Diceros bicornis minor: one gene and its partners. The protein of the gene in region 1 interacts with the protein of each later gene in a pairwise test. Links are inferred from orthologs where the notes say so. Each region holds a gene or a part of one and is shown on either strand. Other genes may lie near its edges. The genes, in order: TXLNB, VIM, LURAP1 and CEP63.

Evidence for each region.
Region 2: the proteins of TXLNB (region 1) and VIM interact in binary tests that used the Homo sapiens proteins (3 or more experiments, as listed by UniProt). The two-hybrid records come from large-scale screens. The link is inferred for Diceros bicornis minor from reciprocal best matches to the Homo sapiens genes TXLNB and VIM.
Region 3: the proteins of TXLNB (region 1) and LURAP1 interact in binary tests that used the Homo sapiens proteins (3 or more experiments, as listed by UniProt). The two-hybrid records come from large-scale screens. The link is inferred for Diceros bicornis minor from reciprocal best matches to the Homo sapiens genes TXLNB and LURAP1.
Region 4: the proteins of TXLNB (region 1) and CEP63 interact in binary tests that used the Homo sapiens proteins (3 or more experiments, as listed by UniProt). The two-hybrid records come from large-scale screens. The link is inferred for Diceros bicornis minor from reciprocal best matches to the Homo sapiens genes TXLNB and CEP63.

Annotation. Positions count from the first base shown.
Region 1 is NC_080778.1:19,217,707-19,224,684, reverse strand, and holds the start of TXLNB (beta-taxilin), read left to right. Parts: upstream 1-3,965; coding exon 3,966-4,404; intron 4,405-6,978. UniProt on the Homo sapiens protein: Promotes motor nerve regeneration. May be involved in intracellular vesicle traffic.
Region 2 is NC_080775.1:17,452,116-17,459,858, reverse strand, and holds the start of VIM (vimentin), read right to left. Parts: upstream 3,012-7,743; 5' UTR 2,862-3,011; coding exon 2,299-2,861; intron 1,652-2,298; coding exon 1,591-1,651; intron 1-1,590. UniProt on the Homo sapiens protein: Vimentins are class-III intermediate filaments found in various non-epithelial cells, especially mesenchymal cells. Vimentin is attached to the nucleus, endoplasmic reticulum, and mitochondria, either laterally or terminally.
Region 3 is NC_080752.1:9,099,120-9,106,285, reverse strand, and holds the start of LURAP1 (leucine rich adaptor protein 1), read right to left. Parts: upstream 3,022-7,166; 5' UTR 2,892-3,021; coding exon 2,691-2,891; intron 1-2,690. UniProt on the Homo sapiens protein: Acts as an activator of the canonical NF-kappa-B pathway and drive the production of pro-inflammatory cytokines. Promotes the antigen (Ag)-presenting and priming function of dendritic cells via the canonical NF-kappa-B pathway.
Region 4 is NC_080741.1:18,003,251-18,010,608, reverse strand, and holds the start of CEP63 (centrosomal protein of 63 kDa), read left to right. Parts: upstream 1-4,340; 5' UTR 4,341-4,422; coding exon 4,423-4,619; exon of another isoform or gene 4,620-4,650; intron 4,651-4,685; exon of another isoform or gene 4,686-4,765; intron 4,766-5,157; exon of another isoform or gene 5,158-5,237; intron 5,238-6,245; exon of another isoform or gene 6,246-7,193; coding exon of another isoform or gene 7,194-7,336; intron 7,337-7,358. Other genes in the region: ANAPC13 (anaphase-promoting complex subunit 13), read right to left, coding at 1,727-1,825. UniProt on the Homo sapiens protein: Required for normal spindle assembly.

The DNA of each region.
Region 1 (6,978 bases):
CTCAGCAAGGACTCGTTAACTTGGAAGGAAATGCTTTTTCTCTCACCCATTTTAATTCACCAACTTTATTACCAAATGGTGCAATAAACAGCTTCACTCTCTTCATCACTGGAATTTCTTTATCCTGACCTCTACGTGTTGGGTATACTCATCTATACATAACTTATGCCTACTCTGAACTTGGAGAAAGGGTTGGGAAAATGTTTGGGGGTGGAATATTTTCGTTTCCCCTTGCTACTGTGACAATTTACCACAAATCTAGTGGCTTAAAAACAACACAAATTTATTATTTTACAGTGTGGAAGTCAGAAATCCAAAATGAGTTTCACTGGGCTAAAATCACGATGTCGGTAGAACTGCATTTCTTTGGGAAGATCTTGAGAAGAATCCATTTCCTTGCCTTTCCCAGCTTCTAGAAACTTCCCGCATTCCTTGGCTTGTGGCCCCACGTCACTCCGACCTCTTTTGGAGTCATCAACTCTCCTTTTCTGACTCTGACCCTCCTGCTTTCCTCTTTCCTTTGTAAGGACCCTTCTGATTACATTCAGCCCACCCGGATAATTCTGGATAATCCCCCCATCTCATGATCCCTTATATCTCTAACTTAATCACACCTGCAAAGTCTCTTTCACCATGTAAAGTAACATATTCACAGGTTCAGGAGACTAGGATGTGAAAATCTTTCAGATAGCATTATTCTGCCTACCACAAGGGGGGTGTCACAATGCCCAGCCTGTACCAAGAGCAGACACTGATGGAGGAATCTGCTTTGCAAAGTATGGGAACACGTTCTCCAGAAACAGAAAGAAAAGGGGAGTGGATGCAGGTTAAAAGAAAGAGGCATTTTATGGTGAATGAGGAGGAGGTGCTTTTCCTGGGGAGAATTAAGGAGCAGGTTGAGAGCTTGGAAACAGTGGGAAAGACTTGGAAAAGCTTCCAAGTCTTGGAGGTGGGGAGTCTTGGGTGTGTACGGTGGGAAAGCCTCCAACTAAGGAAGAAAAAGCAGACTGCCTCCCCCAGGGCTTACCTGAGATGGGAAGGCAGTACCTGAGACTAGAAGGCAGTCACCTGAGTAAGAGGTGGGATCAGAGGTCCCTCCAGTTACCATGAACGTGAAAATGACACGAAACCCACAGCCTAAATAACCGTCTAAATTTTTATTTCAAATTTTACAAACAAACCAAACAATGACATCAGAATAAAAGTAGTTCTAGCACCTCCTTTTTGTTATGCCATTGTTTTTTGTTTTCCATGATTCCTTTAAGAAACCTGACACTAATTAGGCTAGCGTAAGAGGGGAAAAAAAGGAGATGAATCAGAAACCACACTGGAAATGAACCAAGAAATAAGAAAAACCGATCTCTGCCCAAAAGAACAACAATGGTGAAAAATCGTGCTAGCAAAGAGGCTGTATACTGAGAGTTTACATTTTCAAAAGGATGAAACATGGGGAGTCTGATAAGATCTATCAGCTGCTCCTCTTTTCTGAGACATTTGCCCAGGAGACTGCTACAGAAGCTTGGGTGTATTTCTCTCTTGCTGTGTCATAGGATGTGCCTCTACCCTCCCCGCCCCCTCCCTGCTCTCCTGCGGCCTCGGTGCCTGTGTGTGTGTGTGCGTGTGTGTGTGTGTGTGTGTGTGTGTTTGGTCTCTCTCCCCTGTAAGAACACAGCTGCCCGCCTGTCTCCTGCTGTTGCTGCTGCTTTGACTAGCTTTCTGCTGCCTCTTGCCTCTCCTTTCTCTTTCTGCTCAGCTCCTTGCCTTCTGGTAAGTGTGACAAACACTCCCCCAAGCCCTGTGAGAAGGTGTTGGGTGCGGTTTGTGGTGTTCGAAACTTGCACCTTTGAGATTGCCAGTGAACTGTTGAAGAACTTTCCATTGTTGTATTTATAATTAAACTGTGTTGCTCAGGAAGGGACGTGTGTGTGATAATCTGCTGGGACTGCCAGTACACGTGAAAAATTCTCTCAGAGGACAAAAAAGACAGGCAATAAAGTTTATAGAAGATAAAATTTAGAAATAATTTCTTGCTAAATTAATCAACATGGAAGGAGACAATTTAAAAGTAACAGAGGTGTTGGATTTTGTTTTTTTCCTCTTGTTGATTTATCTTGAGGCTACTTTTACGAATTGAGTTGTCCTGTGGTTTATAACAACTCAGTTATTCTATTTTAAAGCAAATGTGGAACATGAGTTTAAAGGATATCCACGGAATTAGTAGAAAAAACATCAATGATTATGGCCTCTGATGAATGAAGAATAGATCAAATACAAACAAAACACTTGCATTTAGACTAACGACACTAAAACTCCTCTAGACAATCAGTTTAAATTCCTTGCTTTGAAGTTTGGTTAACTTTAGATTTTATTTCATCCTAAGAAGCCTCCTAACACTTTAAAACCCACATCTGGATTTAAACCAGTAAATGTTTGCTGTTTTCAATTTGTATTAAAAAGTATTCTCTTCCTTTGATTTTCAAAGATGAAGTGCTAAATGCCAGGGCTCCTTTTAGAAGAGCTTAAAATAACTCCTGGCTGGACAGCAGGTGCCGTGTGTCTCTCTCCAAGTTCAGGGGAGGCGTAAGTTATATATAGATGAGTGTGCCCAACAAGTAAGTGTCGGGATAAAGAGATTGCAGTGATGGAGACAGTGAAGCTGTCTACTGCATCATTTGATAATAAAGGTGGTGAATTAAGATGGGCGAGAGAAAAAGCACTTCCTTCTAAGTTAATGAGTCCTTGCTGGGGGTCACAAGTGGGTGGCAATGTCTGTATGTTGAGTTTTCTGTTCTTGGTGTTCAAGCATTTGACATCAGCTGCCCTGAGGCTGGGGGGAGGAAGCTGTGCAGTGCACAGAACAGTGTGTTTTTGTTTTCGCTCTCAAGCCACACAGCAGCAAAACCTGTGCATTATGAGGACCCTGTCATATTTTTATGCTGCTAATTAGCAGCATCACCATTAAATATCACTTACAAATGAAACGCACCATAACTTAAAGGCCTAAGCCAAATCTATTACAACCCTAGAAATGGCAATAGCCATAAACTCTAGAACCCTTGACTCAGCTAGTCCCTTATCCCCTATTTCCAAAGAGCCCATATTATATCTGGGTTATTTCCCTAGTTCATTCCCTCCCTGTTCATTAAACATTGCTATTTCTTAAAAATTAACTTATCCTAGGGCTTCTTGACTGAGAAGGGAAGGTTGCAATGTTTTTTTCTAAAAGAAAGTTAGTTTTTATATTGGAACAAAAAATACGTTATAGAAATTCAAGGAATTATTATTATGAGTATCACCATGTTTTCATACTAGTTTGTGTGTTAACTTATATCTTCCCTCATTTTCTGTCTTATTTCAAAAACGATGCTAGTTTGAACCTCAAGAATAGTGTTTTCCTGATTGATAATTACACGTTACTCATCTGGGAAAAGGAAAATACCAGAAAAGCAACAAAGTATCTCCTGTAACCAGTATAATAATTCATTTACATCAATGTACTCATATTAATCAAACCTTCATTTATAGATTAAAATAGTTTAGGAATGTTATTGTTATGAATAATTTTAGTAAGTTCAATGGATTTTGCATTAAATGTTTTAACTTTGAAAAAAACAACATTTAAAATTTAAACATTTTAAATGTATACATCCATGTACTTCCAATGACTGTAAATCAACATAGAATTATATGAGAATTGCAACACAAATGGGCTATTCTAAGCAAAATGACAAATATGTCCACCAAAAAGACCAACACCAAAGTATGCTAAAAGACCCAATTTGGAAAAATGGCTTCCTACTGTTCCTACCTACTTAATTGCAATATTGATGGTTTGTGAAAGTACATTCACTCTATGTTAGAAACTGTAATTAGTAGGTATCCGTTTGAGGCTATCCTTACCATTTACATTTAACTAGGTTAACTACATAAAACCTGCTGGGCTTCCACTAGATTCTACTCCCGGTATGGAGACGAATCACTCTGTGCCACTCCCGGGGGACCCCCAATCGACACCTCCTGGGGACATTTCATCATTACCCGCTCAAAATGACCTGGAGAAGCAAGATGATCAGGCTTCCTCAACCCCACTCCGAGCATCAGAGGAGGAGGCAGGTGTGCAGCCTGAGCAGGGAGCTCATGATATCTCTGAAGAGTTGAATCGACAACTGGAAGACATCATCAACACGTACGGGCCTACTGCCGGCACGGCAGGGAAAGGGGGTCCCACCAAGGCCCAGGAACAGCCTGAGAACCCAGAACCACCTGACAATGAGGACGGGGATGGCGAGGAGGCCACTGAAGTGACGGAGAGAGAACCCGTGGCTTCTGGAGAGCCCCTCACAGCCAAAGAGCCTGCCAGCAATAAAGAGCAAAAATTGGAAAAGAAAATCCTAAAAGGATTAGGCAAGTAGTTATGTTCTAATGTATGACTTTTCTTTGAATTATTCCTAAAAGGGGCACTTCCTCTAGCCTTTACTAGAAGCCACATGTCATATTTGGATTACTACAATAGCTTCCTTTAGGATCTCCCTGCATCTTCTCTTACTGTACTTGTCCCCAGGCGTTTCCCCTAGATAGAGTTAAAGTGAACTTTCAACATGTCACCCACCTACCCTCTGTCCTCAATGGCTTCCCACTGCTCTTAGGACAAAGGCCAGAATTCTTAATACGGTCTTTCAGGCCTTAAGCATCTCTCCAGCTTTGTGTCCCATCACTTTACCCCACAACGTCCCCTTCCTGGACACTCTGCCCCTGTCACCACCACCACTGCTACAGCCTAACAGCTAGACATTCTGAACTTCTCTTTCAGTTCTTTGAACTGAAACATGTTCTTTGAACATGCCATGCTCCATCACTTACAGGGCCTGGGTCCCTCCTATTTTCTCCACCTAGAAATTCCTGCCCATTCCCCAGTTCAGCCCTTTGGACACTTAACTCATTTTTCAGCTCACAACTCAAATGGCATCTTTTTAGCCCAACCTTAGATAAAGTCTTCCTGTTTTCTGTTTCTATTGCACCATGCATCTTCCCTTCCTAGTGTCTATCAGCATTTGAGAGTATGCATTTACTTCTGTGATTATTTGGTTCATGCATGACTTCCCCATCAGCTCTTTTACCTCAAGAGCAGAGACTGTGTATATTTGGATATCACTGGATGCCTGGTGTCTAGAACAGTGGATGGCATATGTTAGATGCTCAATAAATGTTTGTTATTAGGATGAATGAATGAGTGAATGAATGAAAGGAAAACTGTTTAAAGCAAAGCTAGTGGAATCTGGATTTAAACAAAATATAAATATAGGGATGGTTCTGTATATAAAATGATTGTCAATTAGATCACTTAGTAGTATGTTCCATTACTATATATTCTTTTATTTAACAAAACTTAGGAAATGTATCAATTATAGAATGTCAAAAATTGCAGAAAATATTTTTACTCTGGTTAGTTAATTGGTTCAGCAAAATATTCATTAATGTCTAGTCTTCATGAGGTACTGTGCTAGGTGCACAAAGATAAATAAATCTTCAAGACCGTTTGGTTAAGGCACTCTAGGTATGGAGAGAGAAACAAACATGCAAACTAGTTGTTACATAGGGCAGTGTGAGAACAGGCACATGAAAATTGTTAGGAGAGCATGGTGGATTGTTTACACCAAAAATGGCTGTGAAAGAGGGTGAGAGAGTTAGTTCTCTAGCTACGAGTGAAAGCATGTTACTGCACACATGAGAGTCCCTCTGTCTTCCTTCCTTGGTGAATTTCCCTGTAGCACTCTCTACAAATGCCACCTCTGTGATACATTCTCTGACATGCCCAGGTAGAGGAAGCATCGCCTTCCTTAGTTCTCCATTAATTTTTCTACAGTAATCTTTTATTTACATGCCTACTTCCCAAGCTGGATGGAGAATCTATCAAGGGCAGTGACCATGTCTTACTCATTTCTGGAAGACAGTGTGGCAGAGTGAAGGATCACAGGTACTGGAGTGAGAACTGGGTTCAGACTCCAGTAACAGGTTATCTGTAAACCCAAAAGTATGTCTATGCTGACATAGGACATCACTATGATGCTTAAAACCCATTGTTGGCAATACTTTCAAGAAGGGCTGAAAGGCACATTCAAATAGCACACCTGACCTACCCAGCGTAAAGATTAAAATAACCCAACTAATACCAAATTCCAAATCGCAAGATTAGCATCACTCTAGTGTTCTGGAACTCTGGGAAAGAGAATGAAGTTGCTTTGTTTTACAGAGCCATTTTTCCTTCTCTATCAAAAGCATCTCAGCAATATCCCTTTGCATTTGTCATTGTTAAACTTTCCATAAGACAACACAAAGTCACGTGGCAGAGATGAATGATTTCAAGTGTACCTAACCAGGAAAGTTCTTTTGCTTATCACTCTAAAACTACTTCTATATAGGAATCTGTATGTGTTGTCTTGGGGGCATGGATATGAAGAAAGCAGAGGTAAAGTTCAAGATGACCACTACTCTGTCTTCCCTGAATTATTTCAAAATCTATGGTAACCTTATAATTACCAATAATCAAAATATTTTAGAGAAAGAAAAAACTCCACAACTTTAGTTCTGCCACTATCTACAGGTTACCAAATTTCAATTGAATGTGTTTGATCAGAACCAATGTTTGTGTATCAGAGCGCCCAGGTGGGTCCACCTAATTACATGTGTGTAAACTGCTGACCCTTCCTTGGCATTTCTCTGAATACTATCAGCATATTCTTCTAAACACTGTACCATTTCAGCTACATTATGAATTAAAACAACATTTTTAGGCTAATCAAAATATGACAATATTATTTCAGTTGTCCGCAAGGGACTTGAGCAGGCTTCTTGGCTGTTTATCAATTAAATGACACTGCACCATCGTCTAGACCAATGATTTTCAAACTTAAGTGTGCACTAGAATCAAGTACAGAATTTGTCAAAAATGCTGTTTCCTGAACACAGAATTGGTAGGTC
Region 2 (7,743 bases), on another chromosome or scaffold:
GCATCTACTGTGTTTCCACCATTTATGAACTGCTGCGTGCCAAAGATTTTATTTCCCCTCAAGGGAACGTCATGAGGATTTTTATACCTCTTATCTTGTAAGCAATTATATTTGGAATACAGTTTATAGCCTTACAGTCTTAAAATGCTGAGACAGTTCTAACACCTTCATGGAAAAGTGAATAAGAAATGGGTGATAAAAAGATCAGGCTTGGGGAAAAATATTCATTTTTGCTTGTTGTTAAGCCCTAAAAAAGATATAAGATAATTTACTAACCTCTATAAAAAAGTTCAGTGTGACATTCTAACTCATTGAAGAGAATGAGGGATTTTTACCTAATCCCTAAATAGGAGATCTTTCGTACCAATATTGTATATTTTTATACAATTTTTATATTAACTCACGACTCTGCGGGAAACATTACAAATATATGATCATAAACGCCCAATGACTAAAATGAACCACATATTGCTGTGTTTAAATTAATTTGGCAAATGTATTTCTGCTTCAAAATATTATTCTAGACTATTCATCTGAGAGTGCTTTTATAGCCACTATTAAGTGTTCAGGAGAACAAAACTATGCTGAGAACTTTTCCTGCTTTTGAATTCCAATTTCAAGTTAAAAACCCTTAAGTCCATCTAACTGCAAAGCAAAAAAACCCTTTTAATTAAAATTCCATTCTTCAGCCTTACGGTTATTCTTTATTTACAGAGAAAGTGCTAAAGAATACAAGAACCCAACGAAGAAAGGCCTTTCCATATGTGAGGTTATGACTGTAGCTTTAAGAACTTTCCACATCACATACTTCACAAGTCAAGGCCAGATATTAGATAACGGATGTTAGCAAATACTTGTGTCCAATTAGAACTGTGCTTACATCATTACATATTCAATAAGAATGTAGCCTGCTGCAAAGCTTCTCTGGCAACACAAAGACTCCTATTATTTCTGTCCAGAGCCACCACACTTGCCAGAATGTCTGTATCTACATTCCATAGTGAAGCCCATAGAAACCATTAATACCATTCAGCCAAGGGGACAGATGGCTCCTTTTCACCCTTCTTAGATCACAAAATAGTAGTGCATAGCGAAACTTCCCTCTAACTTTAATGCCACAGTGGAACTTGCAGAGAACAAAGGGAACTTGCTGGCTTAATTCCAGTTCAACTAAGTTTCTTATCCTCCAACACGTTTTATGTTTTAAATTAGAGGGCATAATTGCGCTTTTTGTGGCCTTGTAAAAGTTAGCCACCTTGACTTCAGCAAACCGCAATCTACATCGAACTGTAACCGTTCGGAATCAGCGTGTCAATGGGCTGCAAAAAAGAAATGGAAAAAAATATTTCTTTGGAAAAGATCTTGAAACAAAGTAAAAAGTTAAAAAGACTTTCTGTCCTAAGGAACGGCTTAAAGCATTCAAAGGTTTTTATGAGAAGCTCCAATCTGTGGTCTTTCTGCCACTAGGGGGCTTTGCGCACAGACGTGAAGATTTGCACTCTTTAGACTCGGTTTAAGTAACTTTTAGAATTGCCCGCGGGCCGGCTGGGTGGGGTCCGGTGGCTGCGAGTGGGAAGAGAATCTACAAACCTGTCTGAAAGATTGCAGGGTGTTCTCGGCTTCCTCTCTCTGAACCATCTCCTCCTGCAACCTGAAACAGTCGCACATGAATCAAAGGGGAACTGGGAAACCGCCGGGGGCGGGGCGGCCACACCCAACCGCCCCCCGCCGCGTCCCGAGACAAGAGTTGCTGCGCCACCTCCGTGGGCAGCCAGTGACCGCGGCTTTTGGGACGGCAGCCCTCGCCAAGTTTTAGCGGGACCTCGGCCGCAGCGTCGAAAAGCAATCACGGTCGCCACACCCACCTGCAAGGCCAACGCCGCCCCCCGCCCCCGCCCTCCGCCCCCGAGGAGCCTCTGCAATCCCTTTGTCTCGCTTCCTGCACAGCGATCCCCTCCTCCTCCCTCCCGCCCTAGGGCTGGCAGCCCGCCAGGTGGGGCCTGGCAACTTTCTAAAAGTTTGGGGAAATCGCGGGCTTCGACTACTGACCAAGTGCCAGTTTTAAGAAATCTGTAACTTGAAACGGGGCGTTCTTGGGCAATGAGTGGGGGTGGAGGGGAAATGCTAACTCAAGCTCTGGGTTCGGGGCGGGGCTGCGCCGCTGCAGCCACAGCCTCGCTCCCCTGCTGTCCCCGAAGCAGCCGCCGCCCCGACACATCCCCGAGGGCGTGGCAGCCCCTCGCGGGGGCCCGTTCCCCCTCCCTCCCTCCCCCCCGCCCTGCATGGGCACTGCCTTACTTCTCCCGGAGCCGCATGATGTCCTCGGCCAGGTTGTCGCGCTCCACCTCGACGCGGGCCTTGTCGTTGGTGAGCTGGTCCACCTGCCGGCGCAGCTCCCGCATCTCCTCCTCGTAGAGGTCCCCCAGGCGCGACTTGCCCTGGCCCTTGAGCTGCTCGAGCTCGGCCACCAGGATCTTGTTCTGCTGCTCCAGGAAGCGCACCTTGTCGATGTAGTTGGCGAAGCGGTCATTCAGCTCCTGCAGCTCCACCTTCTCGTTGGTGCGGGTGTTCTTGAACTCGGTGTTGATGGCATCGGCCAGCGAGAAGTCCACCGAGTCCTGCAGCAGCCGCACGCCGGGCACACTGCTCCGCAGGCGCACGGCCGAGGAGCGCGTGGCGTACCCGCCGCTCGGGGACGAGGAGTACAGGGTGCGGCTGGTGCTGGGGCGCAGCGCGCTGCCCAGGCTGTAGGTGCGGGTGGACGTGGTCACGTAGCTCCGGCTGGAGCTCGGCCGGCTCGCGGTGCCGGGGCCGCCGAACATCCTGCGGTAGGAGGACGAGGACACGGACCTGGTGGACATGGCTGCAGTGGGTGGCGGTGGGCTGGGCGGCTGCGGCGGCGCGGACTAGCTCCGGGAGGAGAGGCGAGCGAGGGCGCGGTGGGTGCGGGCGGTGGGAGCGCTGCTGCGTCTCTGGCGCGGGGACCCCGGAGCGAGAGTGGCAGAGGACGGGACCCCGCCGAGGGCGCAGTTTTTATAGGCCCGTTAGGAAAGAGGGTCCCCTCCCACTGCCATCCCAGCCGCGGAGAGCGTCAGCCAATGGGGACCCGGCGAGAAGCGAGGAGGGTGGGCGGGGGATTGGGGCGGGGGCCCCCTCGAGCCTTCCTCCTCCCCCCTTCTCCATTGCCCGGGGCTGGGCACAGTCCCGTTGCTTCTTGGCTGGGTTGGAACTTTAGGGGACTTTCCTGATGATGGTCCGAGCTCTGCTCACCCCTGGGTGCTGAAAAAGGCGGGGTCGCGCGGTGGCGGGGGAACCGGCCGGGGACTGGACAAGAGGAGTCCTGGGCAGTGCGCCAAAGAGGCGTGGGAGGAGGCGCGCGGGTGGGAGGGGCCCGAGACTGCAGGGCTGCGGTGGGCTGGGAGCGGGTAGGTGGGGAGACCCGCGGGCAAAGGGGCAGGAAGAGGGGGAGTAAGGGATCCAGCAGATCGGAAGGCGCGGAGAAAGAAACAAAGAGCGCCTGAGATTGGAGCGCGAGGTGGGGGCGCACACAGCCCGGGATGCAGGGCTGGGCTCCGCACAGCCTAGCGCACCGGCCGCTTGGAAAGGGGGACCGCCGCGCCCTGCCTCTCTTTGCATCCTCTTGTCTTGGGGGTTCCCGTTTAGGGACTTAACGGGCTCGGTCCGGCATTGGACGGCGCGAGCTTCGAGGCGGCGGCCGAGGAAAGCCCGGGGGAGAGGGGTGGGGTGGCTGAGTCACTGCGCCCTGCTGGCCGCCAAGGTTGAGGGCTCCTAGCGGTTCGAGGAAACCGTTAGACGAGACAGACTCAAGTCTCCGCCGGCCCCGCGCGCACTGTTTGTTGTGAGTTTCACCCAGCTCCGAGCTGGCGCGCCGCTGTCTAGTGTGCGCTTCGCCTGTGGGGAGACGAGAGCGGCCGTAAGTTCTTAAGAACTCGCCAAAGTCTGATTTTGCTCCAATGTGGGGACTTCTTAGCAAGAAACTTCTGCAGACCCTCGAGAGCCGCCCAGCATGGGTCTCCAACATCATGAATGCACTCGGGGAAGGTTTTTCTTGCGAAGTTTCCTCCCACTCTCCCCTCCCGTCTCCGCTCAGCCTCCCTCCTCCCCCCGTGAAGCCACACCCGACTTTTAGCACGATCTCAAAGTTCTGGGTGAAAGAGGAAACTCAGCGTCCGTAGTTTCAAAATCAAATTCAGGGATCACTGGTTTTTCTGCTGTAGTGGAAGTCATTAAAGGTATAATCTGCGCCAATTATAGAAGTAATTAGATGTTGCTTCAAAACCCCAATTTGATTAATGAAAGGCAATTATATAACGCAAATGACGGGGTGTTTGGAAGAAAGAGATTTATGTGTTCATTTTAGTTCAGCGTTGCACACTGCAGGATTCTGGTGACTTATCTGGAAAATGTCACAGGTCCCTTTGGCCTGTTTTCCAGAAGAATTCGTGCCATCGGTCTGGGAGTGAGGGAAGTAAAACCGTCTATAGAGCAAAAAACTTCTGGTTTAGGGCACCAGGGGACTTCAGATTCCACCACCAAGACCCTTCTAGGCAAATCAGTCAACTCAAGGGTTTTTGTTGCAATATTAGTAGCATGCAGAACAGAGTGGTTACCCCCAAAAAGAGATGAAGAGAGCGAAGGCAAGCCAGTCTTTTTGTGAATAAGTAGCAATTTAAAAATCACAGGGTTTTTTTTGTTTGAGTATTTAGAAGACTTAGGGAGTACTGAAAGGATTAACTCCAAAATCACTGTAAAAATAGAAGCGTCTTGATTCCATAGTGAATAGATAGGGGGAAAAAGTAAGATCATTTCCTCTAGTTTTTTTTTTTTTTTTTTTTTTTGGAACGGGGGTACTAGAGGTTACTTGGCATTTAAGAAAAATAGTTTAGAACCAAATGAAGGGTTTATTCTAGCTTCTTTGTACAAGCCTCTTTTAGGCAGTATTTTGTTTACCTCATTTCAGTTAGTTCTGGCCAGTGGTGCTGCCAAGGTCGAGCTGGAGGACCCTTTGCTGCACAGCTCACCTACTGTGGGATTCCTTTTTTCTCTGGGAGGCTGTGGGTCACTCCCAAGAAGCATTCCTGGGGTGTGGCGCCCTGGCCGACTAGCTTATGCTCCATGTTAGTTACCATCTTAATCTCTGAGAGCCCTTTATTCAAGCCACAGCTCAGCAAATGTCACCATTGCGAGTCCGCCTGGAACCCTTAGGATGAGAAAAAGCCATCCCTCTATGGGGGAAGGGTGGTGGACCTTTCTCCCGCCTAAAATGCTGATCCCAGGGCAAAGCAGTGGTGCTGTCAGGGGATGCTTGCTGACTTACTCACTATGGAAAATGAGGACAAGGCTCTGGTGCAGTGTGGCAGTGTGCCTTGTTGGTGACCACAGCAAATTCCTCTGGGCTATGGTGACCTCCTCTGGGAGGGACTCTGGCCGTCCTCTTCATCTCAGGGGTATCCCCTCCCCTTTCTAACCTGTCCTCAATCTGTATTCTCAGGACTGGGTTATGTTCACTTGCTGTCTTGGTCAGCTCAGGCTGCTCTAACAAAATACCATACACTGGATGGCTTAAGCGGCAAACATTTATTTCGCACAGTCCTGGAGGCAGGAAGTCCCAGATCAAGGTGCCAGCCAATTCAGTGTCTGATGAGCGCCTGCTTCCTCGTTTGCAGATGGCCACCTTCTTGCTGTACTCTCAGGGGGCAGAGAGAGTGCAGCCTCTTCCTTTTCTTATAAGAACACCATTCCCATCATGGGGGCCCCACCCTCATGACCTCATCTAAACCTAATCACCTCCCAAAGGCCCCACCTCCTAATACATTGGAGATTAGGGCTCCAACATATGAATTGGGGGTGGAGGGGCACAAACAGGAGGGGCATTTGCCATACAGCGCGCGTGCACACACAGATATGCAGTATCAGGTGTGTCCTATTAGAAATTGCCATAGCTTAGGATGGACCGTAGAACGTAGAGAAGTAAAGGTTACAAAAACACTTCTATTTTTTCATGTAGAATGCGTGAGACTAGGAAAGAATTAATTTCATTCTGAGATAAATTATACACTACCCAGCACAGTGCCTCAACCAATGGGTCATAGTCATCAATGAGGGAAATCAATAGGTAATAGTCAACGATGGAGGAAATCAATGGCTGATAGTCATCAACGAGGCATATCAATGTGTCTGAACTAGCATCTTTGACTATAACTAATCCTGCTATATTCTTGCCCCATGTTCTTAGTTAGCTTTTAGAAGTAAACAGTACGTAGACATAGCTTTCTCAGTTTTTGTATTTATTTTTTGATTGCTGTGAAAACATCTCAGGAGTATATTTAAATGCTAGAAGCTGCTACAAACACTGCATGATGTGAGTTGTGCTAAGGACACAGTGATACCATTTGTAGACCCGGCGTAAACATTACCAAATCTGAAGTCCTCACAGCGATGTTGGAATTTGCAAGCTGTGGTAATGTCAGTTGAATCGGGCGATTTGAGCTGATGGACCAGCCAGCCATGCAGAGAGGAGCTTAGTGGCCTGTGGAGGCTTTCGGAAAGCTGGCTGGCAGGAGGCCACGCCAAGAGGACAGCTTCTAGCTGGATCGTCTGGATGGAATGTTAGAAATGAGAAGGTGGATAAAGTGAGATGGTGAAAGCTTAGCAAAACCTGAAAGGCATGGTAATAAAGATAATAATAATCAATAATATAATAAGTGCTTTCATTTTTGTGGCTACTCAATGACAGGCACTTTGCAAGCATTTAAGCTAATTTAATGCTCTCCTAGCATCCTGCAAGATACAGTTGATCATGTTTTACAGACGAGGCGTCAAAGACACAGGGCTAATGATGTGCTCATGGTAGTGGAGGAAGGAAGGGAGCAAGCATTTGAATTGAGGTCTTTCTGACTCCAAATGCACTTTTCTCTTTGCTTGGTGATGAAATTTTGCTTACTCTAACCAATCCAATTCACAAGTATTATTTAGGGGCCTACTGTGTTTCAGGAGCTGAAGAGAGAGAATAACTATCAGATTATGTCGTGAAGGAGCAGATTCCTAGAGGAGTTTGGAAAATACTTAGAATATCATGTTTTATGTTATTTAAATGATGTTATAATGATTCATAATAGAGAAGAAGGGGGTTTGGTTTTCACCTGTACCCTAAATCTTTACTTGGTGAGTTAAACATTTTCACCTAGATTCCTTTCTCTCTCTTCAGAGGCATCATATCCAAAATTGGACTTAGCCTCATCTCACACCCTAAAACCCACCAAACAGAGCAGCTTCCCCCTCGAACTTCTCTGTCTCTTCAAGGCAACATAGCAAACTAACAAGATTGGAAACATTCGTCATCTTTGCACTTCATTACCCTTGGATACTTCAGATCCCATCACCCAGATCCAGATCTCTCTGGATCACATCCTGTCCCATTGCTTCTTGTGTCCACTCCTCTGTTATGTTGCTGTCACTCACATCCAGGCCATTTTATACCTCATCCCTGCAATAATGTAATTGCCTTCCCTTTCTCCAGGCTCTCCTTACTTCCTCCAGTGTGTCTGTCTTTGAGCCAGAACCTCTTTTTCTTAATTACTGCATTCTTAAGACTCCCTGAAGATCCAAACTAAATCACTCATTCCCTGAGTAGAATGTAGGCTCCATAAGGGCAGGGAATTTTCTCTCTTTTGCTCACTCTCCTATCTCCAGTGCCTACAGAGAAGCTTGGACATTTGTTGA
Region 3 (7,166 bases), on another chromosome or scaffold:
CATTTCACACCATCTCTTTGGAAACGGGATAAACAGCTCAGGAGAGATGCAGCCTCAGAGGCCACTCCAACCCAATTCTCTTCCCAGGGGGATTCAGGTTGCTCACTCCTCCCCTTAACATGTCCACATCAGACTCTCTGCCCAGCCCTGAGGTCACAAGCATGGCTCCCACATCACTCAATCCAAATCAGGCCCTGAGGTAAAAGCCCAGAGATCCTCCCAGCCCTAGTTCCCTGGTCGTGGATTGAGATGCCCAGACTATTGTTACTAAGAAGGCTTTTAGAGACCATCTGGCCCCATAATCCCCTGACCCGCATCCCCCAAGAAGCACCAAAACTGAGGCCAAGAGAGTCAGGGCCCTGCTCAAGATCACAAAATGATTCAGGAGCAGAGCCAGGACTTGAACCCAAGCCTTCCCCCTCCTTGCCTAAAGCTTTTCCTCAAACTGCTCTGTGGGGGCTGGTTGTCATAGCAGCAGTTTTTGGGTGGGAGGATTAAGTAGCCAGAGGTTGCCATTGTTTCCACTCCCCATATATTTCAGAGTCTGGCTGGTTCACTAGACCTTTGAGTAGGGGAGGGAAGCAGCAGGGAAGAGGCTAGAGGCAGGGATGACCTTGGCCTCAAGGGCAGGCCTGCCCCCTCCCTGCAGGAGAGGGACAGCTGAAGGACAGGACTTAGAGGGCTTGGGCCGGTTCTGCCACAAGCGGCTCCAAGGGAAACCTCCTGGCCCACCCCTTGTCCTCCCCAGGAGCAACCCAGTGGGCAGGGCAGAGCGCAAAGAGATCAATGACATCCTGGCCCAAGGAGGGAGATAGGAATGGGGCAGGGATCCTTGGGGCACATAAGAAGCCCGACCCTGTTCTAGCCCCTAGAAGGCTCTCTCCCTCATGCCCTTCATGGACAGCCCAGGGCTCCAGGCCAGGCTGAGTCAAGAATGCGGAGAGACCTAATCAGGGCCCCAGGCCAGGCTGGGTCAAGAATGCAGAGAGATCTAATCAGAAGTTAAATGTACTAGGTTAAAGTTTACAAACAGGTGATCTCCACCAAAGGCAGGAAAGAGTTAGAGCCCAGGCCCAGCTCCTCCACTGGCTGCCTGTGGGAACTCAAGCAAGCCCCTTAACACTCGCCAGCATGTTCCATCTGTGAGACGGGGAATATGAGGACTGCTTTTCTCACCTCAATGACATAAAATGTGTTTTAAGTGTCTGGTACAAAGCAGCAGGTCTCAATGGGAAAGATGCAAAGTGTAGGCAGATCATCTGGGTGCAAAGCCTAGCTCTGCTTTTTACTTTTTATATGACCTTGGGCAGTTACCATCCTCTCTGTGCCTCAGTTTCTTCATCTATAAAGTATCACTTACCCAATAGGTTGCTGTGAGGATTAAAAGAACATCTTGTCAAGTGCTCAGCATGATGCCTGGCACATGCACTTGGTAAAAGTTAGTTTCCAAAGCAAGACACTCTAGATAGGCTCTTTCTAGGCCTTCAGCTAAAAGTACAATGAGGCAAAGCCAGGCCCCTCCCTGGGTGGACACAGTCACAGCCCCGCTCTGGAGAATTTGGCACTTATCTCCAACCTTCAAGGCCAAGTGCACACATGGCATTCAAATCCTTCCCCCAAGGAACCTTCCCTGATTGCTCTGCCCACAAGGCTCTCTCCAGCCTCTCAAGCTGTCTGGGACCCCATGACCTCCCCCCACCCACCCCTGCTGCTCCCTCACAGCTCAGCCTGGCACAGAGCTGGGCACACAGTGGGGCTCCAGGAAGATCTATTGGCTGACACACTCACTGTGGGCTCCTGGTTCTGGGCCAGAAAGTGGCTGGCAATTCCTCAGTTCCCCAGAACTGGCTGCAAAGTGGTGGCAGATGTAAATCAGCCCCTTCACCGGAACCAGGGCCCTAGGGAGCCTGGGGGGGCCCCAAGTGCCCTTTTGGCTCTGAATCTAGACCAGCAGCAACAGGGAAGGGGGAGGGTGCCTGTTTCCTCCTCTTCTCCCCAAGGAGGTACAGACGAGATCCAAATATCCAGTGTACCTGGGGAGCTGGGGGGAAGAGACTGAGTCAGTGACCGGGCCAACACTGATGGTGCTGTTGCTCTGTCTGCTAAGGTTCCAGGAACTTTCAAATACTTTAAGTGGGTGTGGGGGGATGTTGGGGAGAGAGGATGTTTTTGGTGGCCCCAGTCCAGGCAGTTTTCACCCAAATCCCTTCTGTGCTGAATCTTGTGTGAATACCGGGGCCTCAGAGGAACAAACCCTGGGCCCAATTTGCAGGAGGAGAAAAAACTGGTTGCCCTGTAATGGTGGCTGGGGGATAGGCAGCCCGGTAGTGAGGGGTAGGGGGGAGATTTGTGCTGTGCTAGGTTCTCAGGGCGTCCCAGTTCTCACCTCTCTCCTCCCAATTATTTGGCAGGAAAAACTTCCAAAAACCTGTGCCTCCCACCCCAGGTCCTCAGGACCCATCAATACCCCACTCATCCTTGGGGTGAGGGTGAGGGGTGGGAGTGGGGGTGCGGGGGTCTGTAATTAATGGACCCCAGGGTGTAAGGATTGATCAGGGAGGGATCCTGAGGAGTCAGGTGGGGAATTTTAACTCTCTCCTCTCCAGCCCAACTCTGGGGGCGTGAGTCCGTCCCTTCCGGTCCTATGTGGGGGGGGCTCCGTCCCTCTGGCAGGTGCAGCCCACACTCACCAGCTCCATCCTCAGCGCCACGATCTTGTCCCCCAGGCTGTGGCCCGTCCTCGGCGCCCCCGGGAGCATCAGGGCGCCAGAGGTTCCCGGTTCCCACTCGCCTCGCTGCAGCCCGCGGAGCAGCCCTTCAGGGGTCTTTCTGCCCACCTTGCCCTCCACGTCTCGCAGGTCAGGCGTCTGGGACTCCGCAGTCCCCTCCATGCGGGCCTAAGCCTGAACAGGGCTTGGGCGGCCAGACGCCGGGATCCCGCTCCCGGGGGTCCTCCTTTCTCCGCTGCTAATGCGGAGCGGAACCGGTGGGTCCCCGCCCGCGCCGCGTAGGGGCGGGAGGAGGGCGCCGTAACGCTCAGAAAAGCCGCGCAGGACACTGTTTGCGTGTGTGTATATATATATATTCGAGTGCTGCGCACGCTGCCTCTGGCCCTGGAATGCGTGCGGCTGGGCGATTCTGGGTTTGGACTTGAAGGAGCCCTCGGAGAGCTGAACGCCTTCTCCCTACCCTGGCACTGAATCCAGCCAGGCACACAGCAGGCGCCCAATAAATGTTTGCTGAATGAAGGCTAAGCATCCTCAGTTAGAGCTATGGGAATTTAAGGAACAGTGATAAAAGAGCTGCAGAGGGTTTTGGAAGGCTTCCTGGAGTAGATGAGCTGGGTCTAAAACAGTGATTAGAATTTAGCTAGTCACTGACACACACGCATACACCCACAGTGTGGCCGCTGAATTTATTTATTTATTTTTTATTTATTTATTTTTTGGGGGAGGAATATCAGCCCTGAGCTAACATCCATGCTAATCCTCCTCTTTTTGTTGACGAAGACCGGCTCTGAGCTAACATCTATTGCCAATCCTCCTCCTTTTTTTTTTCCCCAAAGCCCCAGTAGATAGCTGTATGTCATAGTTGTACATCCTTCTAGTTGCTGTATGTGGGGCGCGGCCTCAGCTGGAGAAGCAGTGCGTGGCTGCGCGCCCGGGATCTGAACCCCGGGCCGCCAGTAGTGGAGCGCACGCACTTAACCGCCAAGCCACGGGCCGGCCCCTGGCCACTGAATTTAGACTAAAGGAGTGGAAAGGAAAGTTCTTCTGGCCAATGAGGAGCAACCAGTATTGAAGCTGAAGAGGTCCACAAGGGCCAGATCATACGTGATCTTGATACTGATGCTTCTTAAGCTTGACTGTGCATATGAATTATCTGAGAATCCTGTTAATATGCAGATTACTGTTCTGTAAATCTGGGGTGAGGCCTGGACTTCTGCATTTTTAACAAGCTCTCAGGCAATGGCCATGCTGCTGGTCCAGGGAACACACTTTGAGCAACAAGGTAATGGAAAATGGTTCTAAGGTGCTTAGATTTTATTCCACAGGTAATGAGGAGCCATGAAAAACTTTTTATGGTTTGGCTTGGTTTTGGATTTTAATCCAAGTAATTCCAGTCCATGGTTACCGAAGGATTTACAATGAAAACATAGTTACCCCTGCCCTATCCTTTCCCACCTCTAGTCCCACTCCCCAGAGGCAACCACTTTTAGCTATTTTTTTCTGGTGTTTATACCTATAACACCACATAGGTTTATACTGTATCACTAGTTCTTCATTTTAAAAATTGTCTACTGACTTCCTATTATGATAAATACAACTTACCTTACTTACACTCCTTACTTCCCTTCTTCCATTGGCCCTATTTATTTCTATCATTATTTTTAGTTCATTCAATGGTTACCTTCGTAATTTTTTTTTTTTTTTTTTTTTTTTTGTGAGGAGATCAGCCCTGAGCTAACATCCGCCAATCCTCCTCTTTTTTTGCTGAGGAAGACGGCCCTGGGCTAACATCTGTGCCTATCTTCCTCCACTTTATATGGGACGCCGCCACAGCATGGCTTACCAAGCAGTGCGTCGGTGCGCGCCCGGGATCCGAACCAGCGAACCCCGGGCCGCCGCAGCGGAGCGCGCGCACTTAACCGCTTGCGCCACCGGGCCGGCCCCTACCTTCGTAATTTTAAGTAATATATTTCTCCTTAACATCTCTTGATTCATGAAAGGGTTTTAAATCAGAGATTGACAAAACAGATTTCCTTTTTTGAAAAATTACTCTGGATTTTGCAAGAAGAAAGGATTGGAGGAGTAAAAATCTGGAGTCAGGGAGAGCAGTTGGAAGGCAAGCAAACGAAAAGGACTGCACCAGGGGCTGGTTGTGAGGTTGGAGAAGAATGACACCAGAATGAAGGACTCTTTAGGGGGTAATATTGACACGATTTGGTGACTAATTACACTCATTTATTTATAGTGGCATTCAATAAATATTTGTTCAAAAAACGACAGATTTCAATAAGTATTATGGAGAGCCTACTATGTGCTAGCCATTGTGTGTGGTGCAGAGAATAAAGTGATGAGCACACAGACGTGGACTGGTTGCTGAACAGAGAAGAGGAATCAAGGGTGACTCCCAGCTGTTTGGCCTGAGGCCATTCACCAAGCAAGGGAGCCCAAGAAGAGGTCCAGGAGTGGGAAGAGATGATTCCAGCAGGAGTCGTGTTGAGTTGGAGGGGCCTGTGAAGATGTCCAGCAGGCAGTTGGACACAGGTCAGCCTGGAGCGCAGGAGAAAGGTTAGGACTGCAGATATGAGTCTAGGAATCAAGAAGGTAACCGAGGTCAGGAGAGGGGATGAGATCTTCAGGGAGACTGAGTTTGAGGAGAGACGAGAGTCAGGGAGGAACACTGAGGGACATCTTTTTCAAATGATAACAAAATGTATTGAGTTTTCTTCTGTTCTAATACGTAGTCATTAGGAAAAATCACCTATTGCCTCAACTCCTAAGACAAGTACTGTTAACATTTTGGGGGATATCATCCCACCATTTAGAAAACAGATGGACTACGGAGAGCTCAGAAAAATCTAACTGGTCTTCTGGCGTCCTGTTTCCTATTAGCACATTCTCCACAAAAAGGTAAAAGTTCTTTTAAATCAGATTATGTTGCTCTCCTGCTTAAAACTGTTCCATGGCTACCTACTTCAAATAAGTGTCACTGTCACCTAGAAACTTCTTAAAGATGCAGCATTCTTCTCTGCCCCAGATTACTGAATCAACTTCTAGGAATGGGGCCCAGCAATCTGTGTTTTTTTTTTGTGAGGAGATGAGCCCTGAGCTAACATCTGCCAATCCTCCTCTTTTTTTTTTTTTTTTTTGCCAAGGAAGACTGGCCCTGGGCTAACATCCATGCCCATCTTCCTCCACTTTATATGGGCGGCTGCCACAGCATGGCTTGACAAGCAGTGCGTCCATGTGCGCCCGGGAGCACACGCACTTAACCGCTTGCGCCACCTGGCCAGCCCCCCAGCAATCTGTGTTTTAACAAGCCCTCCAACAGATTCTGATGCACACTCAAGTTCAAGAACCACTGTGTTAAGCTAACTGCTTTATATGTATTATCTCATGTAACCTTCACATCAACTCTCTAAGTATTACTATGGTGCAGGGGTTAAGAGTGGACTCTGGAGCCAGGCCGCTTGGGTTTGAATTCTAGCTCTCCCAGCTTGGTGACATTGGGCCTCATTAGTAATAGTACCTACCTCATGGGGTTGTTGTGGAATTAAATGAGTTAATATAAGTAAAGTGTTTAAAACTGACTGGCATACAGTCTGCATCATATCAGCACACCCCTATTTCACAGAGAAGGGAACCTACGCCAAGACCTGAAGTGACTTGCCCAAGGTCTAGGTGATTAGCAGAATCAGGTTTTTAATGTCCCTCGGCCTCCAAAGGCCCTGCATGCCCCAGACCTGGGAGAAGCCTCGCCCAAGCAAGGGGCCAGGGTCGCTGTGTCCCAGGCTTGTCGCCCCTCTGACCCCGGAGCGCCGTGGGGTCTGGTCCAAGGCTCTAGGACTCCGACTCGCATCGCTTTGCCATCCGGCAGTGATGGCGGCGGAGAGGCTGCCCTCCCCCAGCAGCCCCCATCCCGCCGCCCGCGAAGCGGCCGCGGCTCCGAGCGCTCGCGGAGTCACGGGCTGCAGACCGCCCGCGCCGCCCTAAGCGCCGCCCGCCGCCCTCTCACCCCGCGGCGGCGGCGGCGGCGGAAGCGGGGAGGCGGGCCGGGCCGCGCCGGGGCGGGGCCGCGAGCGGCATGGAGGAGGCGGAGGCCTCGGCGCGCCGGGCCGAGCCGTGCGGGCCCGAGCGGGGCTCCCGCGAGGCTCGCGGCCCCTGAGCCGTGAGTGCCTCCGGGCGGGGGTCTTGGAGGGGTGACGCGGCCAGGGCAGGTCGCCCGAGTCGTCGGGAGCCCCGAGCCCCGGGAGGAGAAGAGTTGGGTCACGTAGGAGGGGGCGAGGACGGAGGACGGGGAGGGGGGGGTGGGTCGCTGCCCTGTGCCCGCTCTAGGACTGAGAAGGCTGGGTCTTGGGCCTTTTAGGGGCTGGTGAACCTTGAGAGCCGATTATTTGGCCTCCACCGCTGGGACCCTGGGCAACCCTTCAGTTCCCCCAA
Region 4 (7,358 bases), on another chromosome or scaffold:
CTCCATTTTCTTATCTTTGTTCAGGCCCTCCTCCCTTGCCTAGACCACTGCAATAGCTTCTTAATTGGTCTCTCTGCCCTGTCACTTGCCCCTTTCTCCACGGCAGACATTCTCTAACAATGCTGATTGTTAAACTGATTTTCCAAAACCCAAAACTGAGCATGGCAGACTTCCACTCTGAAGACCACTCATTCCTGGATATCCCCAGGATGAGGTCTAAGCACGGCACCAAATACTCTTCTCAAATCTGGTCCGAGCCCAACTTTTCTGCCTACTTATATGACAACATATTCTCCATCCACACTGAATGCCTCACCATCTCCCAAAGCCTTTACAAATTTGGAGCCTTTGCACCTCTGTCCCCTCTGCTGGAGTGCCCTTGTCTACCTGACTAAACTTCTGATCCTCCCTTCTGACATTCTCTCTGAAGCCTTTCCTGAGAGCCAACAGGCAATCAACCACCTCCAATACTACATAGCTGTTCATGACCCCCACTTAGGACACTTTTTATAACTATTTATCTATGTTACCTCTTTAGACCTCTAGGGACAGAAACTACATCTTATGTTCAATTAGTCTCATGGTACACAGTAGGCTTAAAAAAAATGCTTGTCGAGTGAAAGAATGAACTAAAGTTTACAGGACATGATCTGGAGCCTCACAGACCTAGGTGTGAAGTCCAACCCAGACTGTGGACAAGGTCCCCTCTCTGATCCTATTTCCTGCCCGTAAAATGGGGTAACACCACCACCCCTGCAAGGTTGCTCTGAGGATCAGAGATAATGTATGTCAAATTTCAACCTCAGTCCATGGCATAAAACTGGTATTCAATAAGTAGCAGCTATAATTCTCATTATGCTCTTTTGACTATTTTTGTAAACTCAAACTAAGCTGTGACTTATTATTTGATATGTTTTATCCATCAAACATATTATTATCTCCTATTCTTAAATGAAAATGTGGGTGAGCTGAATTTTATTTCTCTGTAAATAACAGCAGCAGATCATCTACCTCCAAGCTATTTTTTATTAATGGCTCTTCTCAGGGCAGTTGGCATGCTCTAAAGAAAAACAGTCCCTAAATCCTGTTCTCCTTGTTTTTTGTTAGGCCTCTTATGACATAAATAGGACTTTTTAATAGGCATTTATACAAGCAAAACTTTTACATAACTTATTCATGAAGTTTAACAAACTCCTTGCAGGAGAGTTTTCCAGAGATTGGGAAAGAAAAGAGTATTCCAGAAGCCTGTTGGTCTAAATGCAAAAGAAGAAAAGCCAGGTGTCTTTTGAATATTTTCCAGGGAACCTGGGATAGGTGTGTGTACCAAGAGTGCGAGTTTCTAAAAATGTCAACTGACAAACCACAGGTAGAGAAGTTAGAAATGCAGTGCTCATGCCACTGCTTCTTGTTCCTCTCCTTCTAATGCACTAAACTCTCATTATCCAGTTTACTAGCTTTGGTGTGGTGGATAGAACACGGCTCAGAAGACCTGTGTTCCATGCCTGGCATGACCCCTAGCCAAGGTGGTCATATCAGCTCTCTGAACCACAGTTCTCTTCAAATAAAGACTTGAGCTAAATGCGCTCCAGAGGCTTCTAGGGTTAGAGGACTCCACAGCTTTGATTTCTCTGCCCTGCTAGCTTTTTTGTCCACTGATTCCTACCTCTACCAGGACCCACCAGATCATACCTTTAACCCATCATCCTCAGCACAAACTATAACCTACCAGTGGTATTGCGACATCCTCATAAGGAAGCTTGTCTTCTCGCCAAGCATCATCAATCAAATCCAAGATCCTTCCATCTCTCTGGACCTCACTGTCCATTCTCCGGCAGCTTTATCTTGTCAGATCTGTAAGCCAAAGAGGTTATTTCTTAAACACGAAGACTGAGATGACGTAATCCCGCACTCGGAGTTCCCAGGCTTTTCGGCCTGGATATGTCTTTTGGGATAACATCACCCTGGGAACGACTCACCTCTTGCCTGGGTCAGGTGACAACTTACTTTATAAGATCACAGTCCCTTCCTCCTGCCCCCTCACTGCTCAGCTTTACAGTGTTATCGGACAGACATCAGACATAGCCCAGTTGACAGACCAGTGTCACAGCGTGACAGGAGGCCAACATACCTGAGGGCCTCCTTTACAAGGCCACAGTACATCTTGAATGTAGCTTTTCTCTCCTAAATTGCACACTCACCTTTCCCTGTTTGAGATGCCTTTGATGGGTCCTTGATGCATAACCAAGTCTCCTCTCTGGCCCCTCTAGCCTTTCCTGCACCATTTTTACAAAAGTCTCCACCTGCCTTGGCTCTAATCTCAGCATTCTTAGGCACAGGAGCTAAATGAACACACTGAGATAATGCTGAACAGGGTTACACGAAGTGACCAACGACAGATTTGACAGAAATCCTCAGTTGAGCCTGTAAAAGAAACTGCTTCCTTTCTGAAAACAGCGCCCAGCCTGAGCTCTGAAAGGAGCACCTCTAGGTGAACAACAGTGGCAGTACCCCATGCTGCTCGTGTCTGTTTCCCTTCAGGGTTCCTTCCTCTGATTCTCAACGCCATACTCCCTTCCATGCCTGGCCCAAGCAGTCAAGCGGCTTACTTAGCTCCTTGACTACAGCTGATTCCCTATTTTTCTCCTAAACGGCTGCTGCCAGCTTGGAGGGCACCTCTGCATCTCGTTTCCAAGTTTGGGCTCTTGCTTCTTCATCACAGGCACCAGACACCACCCTACTGTGCCACCTGCTACAAAGCAGCCATCCTGATGGCTTGGAAGCCAATGACACCAAAGGCACTCTTTTATTCCCAGTTTGAGACTATGAAGATTCATACAAGAAACAATCTTCAGGTGCAGAATCCAACTCCTTCATACAGGCCTGTGCTTGTCCCCAGTAGTGTGATTGCAAGGTAACCCTAATACCTGTAATAACTGTACAGATTGTAGTGGCAGAAGGGTTTTGCCCCCATGATAAGGATCCAGGCAAAACTGAAGCAAAAGGTGCCCAGCTACTTCTGCCACCAGTGAACATGATGAGGTCTTCACGTTTAACTCAACGATTAATCCAGGACTGCCCAGTGGACAAGTGAAAGCCAAGGAACCTGTCTTTAGGAAATCCACACACAAGGAGTTCCTGCCCTCAGTTCCAGTTATACTTTTGGAGTCCCTGGACTCCAAAATCTGGAGTCCTATAAGACCCCTCCCTTTTCCTGCTGCCACTCCTTCGTCCTTGCTGCTCTGCCCCTGGGGATACCCTCCTTAATTTTCTAAGGTGACCAAAACCAGCCGATTTTCCCAGTCACACACAGATTCCATCTTTTTGTCAAGTTTTCTAAAATCACAGCAGCTTCAGCAGGCACTCGGCCCTCAAATGCTTCCTTCTTGTCCTTAACATCTACTAAACAAGTCAGGTCGCCTCTGCAACCCACTGCTCAGGTATAATTGTCTCCAAGTGATTTTTTTTTTCTTTCTGCTGAGGAAGATTAGCCCTGAGATAACATCTGTGCCCACCTTCCTCTATTTTGTATATGGGACGCTGCCACAGCATGGCTTGACAAGCTATGTATGCATAGGGATTGTTATGTGTAAATTTTGTATCAATGCCTCAGCACATCTTCCCCCAATGTGTCCTCAATCTTTATTCACCCGTTCCTTTTCCAAACACCTCTAACCCTCTCATACTTGCCAGCCTCTGCACTTAAAACCCTCTTTCCCCCAGCACTAACACCTACTTTTCCCTCCAAACTCAAAGTGTGCGTCAGCTCTTCCGGATCAACGTCCTCCTTCCACAGTTGGGCGCTAAATTGCCTTCACTCTTAAGGGGCTGGAAGAGTGGAAAGCATCAAGACAGGCGATGTCCAGGGCACGGCCACTGTCCCAAGCACTTGCCACACTCGACAGAACGAACCACTACCAGTTTCCCGAACAAACTGTTCTTACGCACGTGACAGTCCCAATGCCTGGAAGGCTTTTTACTCTTTTTCCCCAGCTAATCCCCAGTCAGTCTAGAAACTCTCGGGTCGCCTCCCGCAGGAGGCCCTCCCCCAGACCCAGGCGCGCGCGCGCCCGCCCCTGCAAGGGTCCCATGGCTCCCAGGGCTCATGAACGGTCCCGACGGGAGGCTGCCACATCGCCGGTTACACGTCCTCCCAGACAGACGGTGCGTGCGCCCCCCGGGGCAGGCCTCTCTGTGCTCCAGAGCTCTGTAAACGCGCAGCTCCGCGATCAAAGCAGGAAGGCGTTTTCCCTCACTAGAAATGACCCTCGCAGGCCACCACCGTCGTACAGGTGAGGCTGCCCCCGCCGCGCCTTCCGGCCCGGGCTGGAAGTACCAAAAGCGGAGCGGGGGAGGTCCAGGCCCGCCACGCGAGTCCTCTCCACCGGACCCGGCGTGTGATAGGCGAATGAGTATGAGAACGAAATGAAAGCCTCAGCTTCGGCCGACGGAAGTTGGAGAAGCGCGACGCTGAGGAACAACGCGATCCCGCCCCTCCAAAACCTAGGCCTGCAGCGCGGTAAACCCTTACCGGTACCCGACCCAGATCGCACCACTTCCGCCAGACCCCGCCCTCCTCATCACGTGATCCGCACGCCCTTTTCTCCGATCCCCGGATGTGGGTGAGCCCATTTGCTGGCGCGGAGGGGAGGTCAGGGAGGACGTAGTGTCAATTCAAAGTGAGGGCGCAGTGGGCGGAACGAACGTGCCGGCGACGGAGGCTGGACGTCAGGTTGGCGGTGACGCGCGTGCGCGCCCCCGGCCGGAGGTAACGGCGGGAAGGCTCGGGGGCGCGCTCGCGGCAGCCCGTAACCGCATGTGCGCACGTAGGGCCGGCGAGGGCCTGAGGGGTTCTGGGCTGGAGGCCGCTCTGGCTGCAGTGGCGCCGCCGGCCGCGCGGCCCCAGGGACCGGGACTGGCTTCCGGAGCTGCCCGCCTGCCGCCGGGCCCGCCCCCGCCGGCCCGGGCCCGCCCCGGCGCCCCGCCCCTCGTCCTTGCCGCGGACGCCCTGCGGCCGCGCGAAGGCGACTATGGCGGTGCCGGGCGCGCCGTCCGCGCCAGCCAGGTGGTCAGCCTCTACCCGGAGGCTGGGAGGCTGGGAGGCCGGGAGGGCGGAAGGGCGGGGGCGAGCTGCTCTCGGGCCCTCACCTTCCCTGGCGGAGCCAGGCTTCCTCCCCGGGGGAGGGACCCCGGCACAGCCCTCCCGCCCGGGCTCCGTGCCCTGTTAGCTCCCTAGCAAGGTGCGACTTAGGTCCTGGACGGCGGGTGATACCGGTTCATGTGTGGTGGAGAGGTTAGCGATTTTTAGCAAGGGAGTTGCTTTACAAACGTTAATGTTAGTACAGGAGATACGGAACTGTGGCAGAAATCGTGAAGGACTGAAGTTGGGGAACCCTGAACTTAACGGATTGCTCCATACGGATCAGGGATGGGAAATAAATGATAGAGTGAGAGTTTAAAAGGGACGGTTCTGTAGGAACACTTGAATCATGAAGATATTTGAAGACAGTAAATCTAGGCTCATAGCGTGGTTTTGCTTATGTCTCTTACAACAGAAGAGTAAAGAGTCTGCTGTCAGTGACTGGTCTCCGTTTACAGTTACAGTGCACTTATTTGCACAAAGTAGTTTTCATTGAGCCTTACATCCGATTCCTTAAACCGGTCTTTGAAAAAAGTTTTTTAATTCCTTTAATAAAGCAGTATTGTAGGGTAGGTACCCTGTAGTTATGCAGTTCCCCACATGCTTACATTTAATTTTATTTTATAGCTATGAAGAGGAAATCGTCATAAGGATCATCAACTACATGTTACTTTCAAATATTTACATTTCTACTTATCGTAGCTGTAGCTTAACGATAAGGTGTATGTATTTTCTTATTCAGCTTGCAGTACCATATTTAGATTGATTTTTATCCTGAGCTTCTTGCCCTTTGACTATATCATTATCACTGATCAGGATAGTAAAAGACAAATTAAAATAGGTTAGAGATTTATAAACATTCAGACAGTCACACCGCCCTTTAAGATGTATGTAGATTCAAGTTTTAAAATTATTTGTAATAATTGTGTATGTTAATTGTACTGATGCCATTTTCCTCCCATTAATAGGTGGGAGACGTTTGCTTGGTCATCCGTATTCTCATTTGTGTAGTAGTGGTGGCTGGTGGTGACAGCATCAGTAGTCCACTCTATCAGAGCTTCCTACTTAAAAAAAAAAAAAAATGTTAACTTGATTTGAAATTCAGCTGAAGCCAACATTAATATAGGTTTCAGGAACTGAATTTTTGATTTTTATGTTATGTTAGGTTTTTTTTCCCCTCCAAGAGCTAAGTTTTTTTTTTTCAGTTTTACAAAACCACAGTGTTGTCATCACACCTAGGAAAATTAAAAAAATTACATAATGTCAATATTCAGTCTGGATTCAGATTTCCCCAACTGTCCCTTAAATGTCTTTTTACAATTAACTTGTTTGGATCAAAATCCCATAGAGATCCACATGTTGCATTTGGTTGATACACCTTTTAAATCTTTTAATATAGCAGTCCTTGCCTCCCTTTTTTCCCTTAACATTCTAGATTTAGCTGATTGCATCCACATGGTATCCTTTAACATGTACATCTATTCCCTTTATTTCCTGTGAACCAGTAGTTAAAGCTAGAATTGCACTGTCCACTATAGTAGCCACCAGCAAGCTGTGGCTATTTAAATGAATTAAAGTGAAATAAAACTAAAAATTCAGTTACCTGGTTGCATTATCCACGTTTCAAGTGCCCAATAATCACAGGTGCTTAGTGGCTACCATTTGAATAGTGTGGATAGAAAATATTTTCATAATTGCAGAAAGTTCAGTTGAACAGCACTGATCTAGAAGCTGGATCAGATTCAACCTTGATTTTTTTTGGTGGTGGGGGTAAGATTTCCTAGGTGCTGCAGTACACATCCTATTGTATTAGTTATCAGAGAGGCATGCAGTGTCTCAGTTGTCTCTTTTTGTGATATTAAGATTGAGCAGTGTAGTGGCTTCAGGTGTTGTCAGCCCAATCCAGCCATCATGAAATTCCCCATGAGCCTTTCGCTCGATGGTGAATTCTTTCCATGGATTTAGATTGCCTATAACCATTATTGCATTAGGGGTTGCAAAATGGTGATTTTCTAGTTCTATCATTCCTTCAGTGTTTATTAGCTGGAAATCTTTTATGAAGAACTTTCCCCACCAGTTATTTGACTGCCATCAGCTATTTGAAATACAGTTTGTGCAGGAAAGGCAAGAAAAATACTTAATTCTTTCCCTCTATTTTCAGACTACGATAATGAGTTGGTGGCCTAGCAACCTCCAAAGGTAACCATGAGGGTTTTTGCCT